Linked DNA regions of Oryzias latipes. The protein of the gene in region 1 binds, or shares a complex with, the protein of each later gene. Links are inferred from orthologs where the notes say so. Each region holds a gene or a part of one and is shown in the gene's direction. Other genes may lie near its edges. The genes, in order: nup58 and nup62.

The links.
Region 2: nup58 (region 1) and nup62 share a complex: the UniProt entries of both Homo sapiens proteins name them as parts of the p62 complex. The link is inferred for Oryzias latipes from reciprocal best matches to the Homo sapiens genes NUP58 and NUP62.

Annotation. Positions count from the first base shown.
Region 1 is NC_019878.2:13,567,333-13,571,153, reverse strand, and holds part of nup58 (nucleoporin p58/p45), read left to right. Parts: intron 1-203; coding exon 204-283; intron 284-424; coding exon 425-543; intron 544-748; coding exon 749-831; intron 832-1,023; coding exon 1,024-1,225; intron 1,226-3,821. UniProt on the Homo sapiens protein: Component of the nuclear pore complex, a complex required for the trafficking across the nuclear membrane.
Region 2 is NC_019879.2:22,073,611-22,077,832, reverse strand, and holds nup62 (nuclear pore glycoprotein p62), read left to right. Parts: upstream 1-1,251; 5' UTR 1,252-1,567; coding exon 1,568-3,070; intron 3,071-3,164; coding exon 3,165-3,323; 3' UTR 3,324-3,477; downstream 3,478-4,222. Other genes in the region: pdk1 (pyruvate dehydrogenase (acetyl-transferring) kinase isozyme 1, mitochondrial), read right to left, coding at 1-106, 250-358. UniProt on the Homo sapiens protein: Essential component of the nuclear pore complex. The N-terminal is probably involved in nucleocytoplasmic transport.

The DNA of each region.
Region 1 (3,821 bases):
ACATTTGGTAGAATATTTCTTTATTGTACAAAAATGTTTCTGGGAAAAGTTATATAAAAATGAATTAATGAATAATAAAAATTAGCCCTTTTTTTAATTTCTTGTTTTTTTTAGAAATAAAATGAGTAGAGAAAGTGTTTTGTTTCTCAATGTGAAGTAGGTCAATTAAAACCTGTTTTTCAAATGTTATTTTTGTTTGTAAGGAGCTGAAAAATGCTGACATAGCACTGCGGACACAGAAGACCCCCCCTGGACTCCAGCATGAAAACACAGCTCCATCAGAGTAAGTCAGTCAACGACCACATGTCCAGGAGGCCTCAAAGCTCAAAGGATTCAAAGAAAATCGCTCCCTCTTTGCTCTAAAAATATGTGAATTCTTTAATAGACAGGAACTTGAGTACTTCTTTTTCTTTTTTTTAACTAGTTATTTCCGAAGCCTTGTGGAGCAGTTTGAAGTGCAGCTGCAACAGTACCGGCAGCAGATCGAAGAGCTGGAAAATCACCTGACAACACAGAGCAGCGGCTCCCACATCACTCCTCAGGGTAATTTGTCCTTATTCATGATGTGTTATCCTGTATTTTAAACCAACATGTCTGTTTATGAAGATTTAGGATAAACAAATAGATAATATAGCCACCTGTAAACGTTTATCTACTCTTGCTTTGCATCTGCCTTGTATATCTTATCATTTCTTTTAGCGTATGCTAAATTAGCACACAGCCTAAGGATGTTTTTCTTTCCTTTCAGATTTGACGATGGCCATGCAAAAGTTGTACCAAACATTTGTCGCACAGGCTGCTCAGCTTCAGTCTGTCCATGAGAACGTCAAGGTCAGGTTTTTTTTTTAACAGTAAAATGTGTCGGATAATTTCAAATCTCCTAAATATTACTATATATATCAACAAATAGTTTTTTTTTAATCACAGATACAGAATTGTTAACAAAAAGTTAAATATTTGTTTGTTTTTGCCATTTGTTTGTATGGTAATGTCATGTAAATATTTTAATATCTGGTGCTGCAGATTTTGAAGCAGCAGTATCTTTCCTATCGTCGAGCCTTTCTGGAAGATACCACAGACATTTTTGAGACCAAGCGCGCGTCCAACAGGAAATGGCAGAGTGCATCACGAGTCACAACTGGGCCTGCTCCCTTCTCCACCGTACCCAACGCTGCAGCTGTTGCCATGGCAGCCACGTTGACCCAGCAACAGCAGCCAACTCCAGGTCTGACTGCCTACAAGTTCTAGAAAGTACTCCTCCTCATCACCTTGGTTAAGAGAATAAAAGTAGGGAGGAGAAACTAAATAAGAAGTGTTGGAAGGGCAGGGTGATTGTTTTATTTTTGTTTGTTCTTTTTAAGTATCAAAGTGTTTTGGTTGCAAGTAATTTTAAAGACGACAGAATTATCAGAAATAACACTTGATGGTGTTATTCTGACTGTGTGTAAACTACTTTGAAAGAAAAGTGTGTGACAGGGATCTAGAAATCTGCTTGAGACATCTGACATGAGTTTTTGCACTGCCTTACCATCCAATTAAACCTCACAGTCTAAGTGTAAGGTTACAGTCGGCTCCAGTGCACAATTAACACCTAACTCTGTCAGTTTGCACTTTTTTTTTTTAAAGAAAATCCTCTGAAATGTTGTTATGCCAGTGGAATCACTGGGGGGGAAAAAGAAACACTGTTAATGGAAGAAAACTCACCATTCCTATGAAAAATATGTACAGATCCCAATCCAAACTCTAACAGTATTCTGTAGACCGCTATAGATAACATAACCTATTCTTGTAGGGTTTTTGCAGTTCTCCAGATCTTTATCAGAATTTTTAAATCAGACAGTTCATTATTTGAAACATGTTAAAACATTTAGGAATTCAACTGTTCACATGATCCAAAATGAGCAGATTTAACTTCCATTTAAGAATGTTTCCGATCACTTCATCTCTTTGTCCAAAAAACATTTTTCAGCGTTTCCGTTGGACATGTATTCCTAAAATCTTCATCACTTGTGGATACATCATTTTGGCTTTATTGAACAATTTCTCAACTGAAATGACTAGTCTGTGTTTTCCATCACGCGTCTGTGGTGTTTGATATTGTCAGCCATTTTTGTAGGCTTTGGTTTGTAGGCCATCTTACTGGCATATCAGGGCACCAATGTTGTGATGAACAGACAAAGCTGTTAGTAGCAAGTTTCTGCTGGCCTTTTGTTCCCATAAACTTTTAACAAAAAGAAGTAAACACTTCAGATGATTTCGAGAGCAATATTTGACTGGGTTTCAGCAAAGTCTAAACACTCTTCGTTGGCAGTGTCCTTAAAAATAGGATTTCCAGTCTCATGTCAAACAATATTTGCTGCTTATTTTTAAACAAAGCTTTCCAAACTTGCATAGACTGTTATATCTACTTGCAATGTGTTAACTGAAGTGCTGCTCGCTTTTCATTGGTAGTTTTCCTCTACTTTTGATTACTTCACTTCTTTGAGTAATCACATACTTCATAAAAAAAATATGTGCCGTGGAGGGATGGGAGTATTTGTGTACTACAATGTAAACACTGAAGGCACCTCTCTAACTATCTCATTACCACAACCAGTATAACCCACTGTTGTGTTACGAGTGAACACCACCTCTGTGCCTGCTGAAGATTGCGTTTGTTTGTTTTGCTTTGTGTTTATAAAGTTATAAAGTTTCTAGTTGTAAATCTGCATACTTGTGCTATGATCACTGTTCAATGAGAATCCATTCTTTACATTTAAACTCACTGCCAATCATTTTCTGACCGTGTGCCACAGAATAGTATTTTTTTTTGAACACTGATTTGTTGTGCTGAATAGCCAACGTCTTAAATAAGTGGATCAATTTTTCCATGCTGAATTGCAACTTGTATTTATTTAGCTATTTATTTCTGGGTTACTTGACGCATGTGGAGGGTGAACAGAAGCACTTTTCCTTTGGTAGACTTTATCACATACATTGACAGTGCGGTTGTGTGTTTTCCTGACACTGTTTGTTGGCGCAAAACATTCAAAGACTCAGGATTGAAAATGTCAAATTTCCAGACGTGTTGATTTCTACTGAGGCTTTGTCCTTCAGTGACTGCTTGATGACCTTGTTGAAATAGACCCAGTCAGGTTTTGTTGGCCTTAAGTTGTTTGGTTTCAGGAGAAAAAAATGTACTTTTCATCTCACTGCTTGATATTGAATGGAGTCATTTTGGTATCAGGCCAATATCACTGTTTCTTGATACATTACTTTTACCCAAGGGCTACAGTCGGCATAACAGGGCTAGTTCATTTCTATCATTCAAAGAAAAATGTGGAGTTCAAATGCTGATTCTGAGTTTCAGGTATTTCTTTCTTAACATTTGGGTACTTGACCTGGATTCTAGTTGTAAGGTGCTTTTCGTTTTGTGTAGAAAATCTTTCAGTCAAATCTTCGTATAGGTTGGTTGAGATTCAGGTCATTGGGAATAGAGGATTGCCGCTCGCGCTGCTCCACAGGTACCAGAGAGGTAGATGTTGGTGCCAAATCAAACGGCCAAGTGTCAAGTTCGAATTTACAGTATTACGTGATGTAGAAAGTGTTAACATCCAAACTAGAGGCAAAGAAAACGGTGTTAATACATTGTCAGTGCGTACAGGGATCATTGGCAAACCTAATTTAATTGTTTATTGGTGGAGTTTATTTATTTAAAAAAGGAAAAACCTTTCTGGCTTTTTCCATAAAAACACTAATATTTTTGTAATATAGAGATGGAATTCCAATCAACTTCTTGAGGAATTTAAATTATTTGTGTGGTTTCTTAACATTGTCTTCCA
Region 2 (4,222 bases), on another chromosome or scaffold:
AGATTATCTGGCAGCAAATTAATTTCCTTCATGATGTTTGCCAGCCTCACAGGGAGCTCTTGTCTGAGGAAGGCGAAGGATGTTTTCTCACATGCATTTTCAGAACCTGAAGGAAGACAAAAACATGGAGGACTTTCAAAAATACTTTAAAGTATCCTTTAAAATTCCAACCATAAGCTAGAATACACACACATAGAGAGAGGGGGAGTAAATTACAACTATATTTAAAGCATCTAAAATTCATTTTACCAAAATCCAGAAACTGCTTCATGGATAAAGGCGAAGGAGAAAACTTTGAGTAATAGTCAATGTCCTTCCCGACCGCCACGCTCTTCCTCAGGAACCTTAAAAGCCTCATGTTGCTCTCCGGCCTCGACTTGATCAGATTTCAAACACACACGACACGTCCGAATTCTTATGGCGCACGCGGCCACAACAATAAATATGTGACGCTTGTTGACACACTAGCTTGTTGGCTAAACTCAGCAGTTCGCCCGCACGTTTGCGATTATCGACCGTGTTTCCACTTGGACTGAATTCCTGCTGCAGGCATGGTCACAGACGGACTAAAGCATCATCCCTCACTTCGGACGTCCTCTGTAAAATTCAGTCAAAAGTCAACACGGCAAACGCACCCACTCCGCAGCTGAGCTAGCAAGTTCAAAGAGTTGATTCGACGCCGAGAGAACAACGCAACTATTTTGCAGTAGTCTTTATAAAATAAAGATGACAACTTTTATGCAATTTAAATAGATTATTCTTCTGCTTTTATTTTATGGTGGTTGGAATACAACTTTTGGGATGTTCGCCACCTACAAATTGATCACTTTTGGTTCCTAACCCGCATATCAGATGGGTTAGATTAGACCGCTAAAAACACCACTAATGTAGAAAGTAATACATATTTGCGTGACAAATAAAATATATGTTGTTTTACTTTAAAGCGTTTAACAACAAAACGAATTTATATAATTTTAATTATTTAGCAAAATGCAAGAGGAATTATTAACATGTAGTTCATATCTACGACACTAAAAAGTGCGTTCTGTGCATCTCTTGTCCTCTATTAACTCTTTGACTGGTTGAAATGCCGTCGCTCTGATCCCCAGTGCTTGTCTGTAAGGTTAAAAAATAAAAACCAATCAAATGTCAGCATTTTTCATTTCGGCACAGTAATTTGGTGTTAAGGATGTCAATCTAAACTAGAGGGTGGGGCTTTTTCTCTGACAGACAGAATTGAGGGCAAAATTGCATGTTGAAAGTGGCGTCACTTCCTTTAGCTACAACAGAAAGTATGCTCAAAGAAACGTTTGGTCAGTTACCCACGTTTTTTTTAAAGATGCTTCGCTAGTATTATTATATTTACCGGCACAGTGAAAGAATTAGTTATTAGACTATGATTTAAAATATCCGTGGCTAACGTAAGAAGTCCTCTCATTAGACGGTTTTTCTTCGGTGAAGCTAGTTGAACCGGCAGCTCGTGCTAGCGACCCGCCAAAAACTGTGGTGAAAGATACCATTTTGTTCGTAAGCTGTAAAGTCATTTTGTTTTTATCAGAGGAAGAACATGAGTGGCGGATTCAACTTCGGGCAACCTTCGGGTTTTGCCTTCGGAGCGCAGAAGACCACAGCGGCCGCTCCGGCCCCGGGCTTCAGTTTAACGAACTCCACGGCTGCGGCTTCGGGAACGGGCTTCTCTTTTGGCACTCCGACTCAGAGTCAGACCAACGCCAACCCGACCGGTGGCTTCAGTTTTGGCGCACCGGCTAAGAACTCTTCCGCCGGCGGCACCGGCTTCTCCTTTGGCACACCCAACGCCGCCGCCGCCACCGGCACGTTCGGCCTGGCCACGACTACCCAAACCACCGCCGCCACTGGGTTGACCTTAGGCTCCTCGGCCGCTCCAGCTGCGGGGTCCGGCTTCACCCTGGGCGGGATGTTGTCTTCGCAGACGAACAGCGCCGCTCCAGCGGGAGGGGGCTTCAACTTTGGGGCTACCTCCCAGGCCCCACCCGCAGCGACAGTTGCACCTACAACAACCACCGCATCAGGTGGCATGGCTTTCGGAGGGTTCAGCTTCGGAGCGCCGAAAGTCCAGGTGACCTCAGCTGCAAGCACAACCATCGCAGCGGGGGGAGGAGGCTTCAGCTTCGGGACCCCTGCCCCCTCCACCCTCACCCAGCCAGCCCCAGCAGCTGCAGCTCCAGCAGCTCCAACCCAGGGTGGAGGGTTTAACTTCGGAATTAAACCCTCATCAACACCAGCTCCTCCCGCATCCACCCAGTCAGCCCCCACCCAGTCAGCCCCCACCCTAGGCCTGTCTCTGTTTGCGTCACCTATCATCACAACCTCTGCAGCAGCGCCAACTTCAGGTTTTACTTTGGGTGCAGCTCCAGCGTTGTCAACCAGCATGGCAGCATCCACAGCTGCAGGTACAGCTCCATCCTTCATGCTCAAGCCTCTGGGGTCCGTTGCCAGCACAGCAGCAAACACCGGCTCCACCACCACCACAACAACTGCAGCTGTCACAGCTAATGCCACCGCAGGCTTCACGCTGGGATTCAAACCTCCGACCATCTCAAGCTCCACAACAGCCTCCACAGCAACAGCCGTTACAACCACCACCACGGCCCCTCCGGTGATGACCTACGCCCAGCTGGAGGGTCTCATAAACAAGTGGAGTCTTGAACTTCAGGACCAAGAGAGGCATTTCTTACAGCAGGCAACTCAGGTCAACGCTTGGGACAGAATGCTGGTGGAGAACGGGGAAAAGATCACGTCTCTGCATAAGGAGATGGAGAAGGTGAAGCTGGACCAGAGAAGGCTCAACCAGGAGCTCGATTTCATTCTGTCCCAGCAGAAGGAGCTGGAGGACTTGCTTTGCCCTCTGGAAGAGACTGTGAAGGAGCAGAGCGGAACCATCTACATGCAGAACGCAGACGAGGAACGCGAAAGAACATACAAGCTCGCTGAGAACGTGGACGCCCAGCTGAAGAGGATGTCACAGGACCTGAAGGAGATCATTGAGCACCTGAACACATCCAGCGGGCCGGCAGACACCAGTGATCCAGTAAGATCTGAGCCTTTTTTTTTTAAATCATATTTCTCATAAAATCAAGTCTTCTGCTGTTTTAATCGCCTTCCTTTCTTTTTGAATCCTTTAGCTTCAGCAGATTTGCAAGATCCTGAATGCTCACATGGATTCGCTGCAGTGGATCGACCAGAACTCTGTCCTGCTGCACAGAAGAGTGGAGGAAGTGTCCAAACAGTGCGACACCCAGCGCAAAGAGCAGGAGAAGACCTTTCGTCTAACCTTTGACTGATTTGTTTTTTGGCTCAGTGCTTATTTTTCCCATTTTGCTTTGGATTTTCTCCTTTATTATACTTCTATTGTGTGTTGCAAAACTATTTTAAATGCAATCATCTTTATAATTGTATCTACCTGAATAGAATGATTAAAAACAAATTTTGAACTTTTTTGTGTTTTCACATCCTAATTTTACCTGTTTTTTATCTATATTTAGGATTGAAAAACATCTAATGACAAGATTTGTTTCTTGTTCTAAGACTGATGTTACCCCTTGTGCTATCTTAGATGACCCCACCCTTACATTGACGTGTTCTCCCTACCATGACAAAGGTGGAAAGATTTCATGTAATCCATGGACACCAGTGAAGATCACAAATCATTGAAGAAAAAAGGTTCAGCGCACTGTCTAGTGGGTCTAGATGACCCCACTCCCAATGTTAAAGTGCCTAGGATAGCACAAGGGTTAATACTTGCAAGGTGGATTTTCAATTAGGATGTTTTTGCTATGACACTCGTTTGAAGGGGAATTGACTTCAGCATTTGTTTGAGTTTTGTCAAAACAATGTTTTAAACTTAATTTACGGAGAAGCTGAAGATGTTTTTTTTTTTATATAGAAAAGGAAGATTCATTAGAAATAATTCTTTAAATTGTTTTATATATGACAAAAAGAAGCAGTTACACCCATAAAAACAGTCTTTTTAGCACATTCCCTTTGGATTGAATAAAAATAAAAACAATCCGATTCAGTGATGATCTAAAGTACAGTGGATGCTACCTGAACATCACAGCAGTGAGAGATTTCAACTTGACGGGAACACAGGCGATGAGTAAAATGACATCATTCCACAGTGATGGACTTGTACCTTTGCATAGATTTGACAACAATAGCATCTCAGCTGTAAACCTGTTAT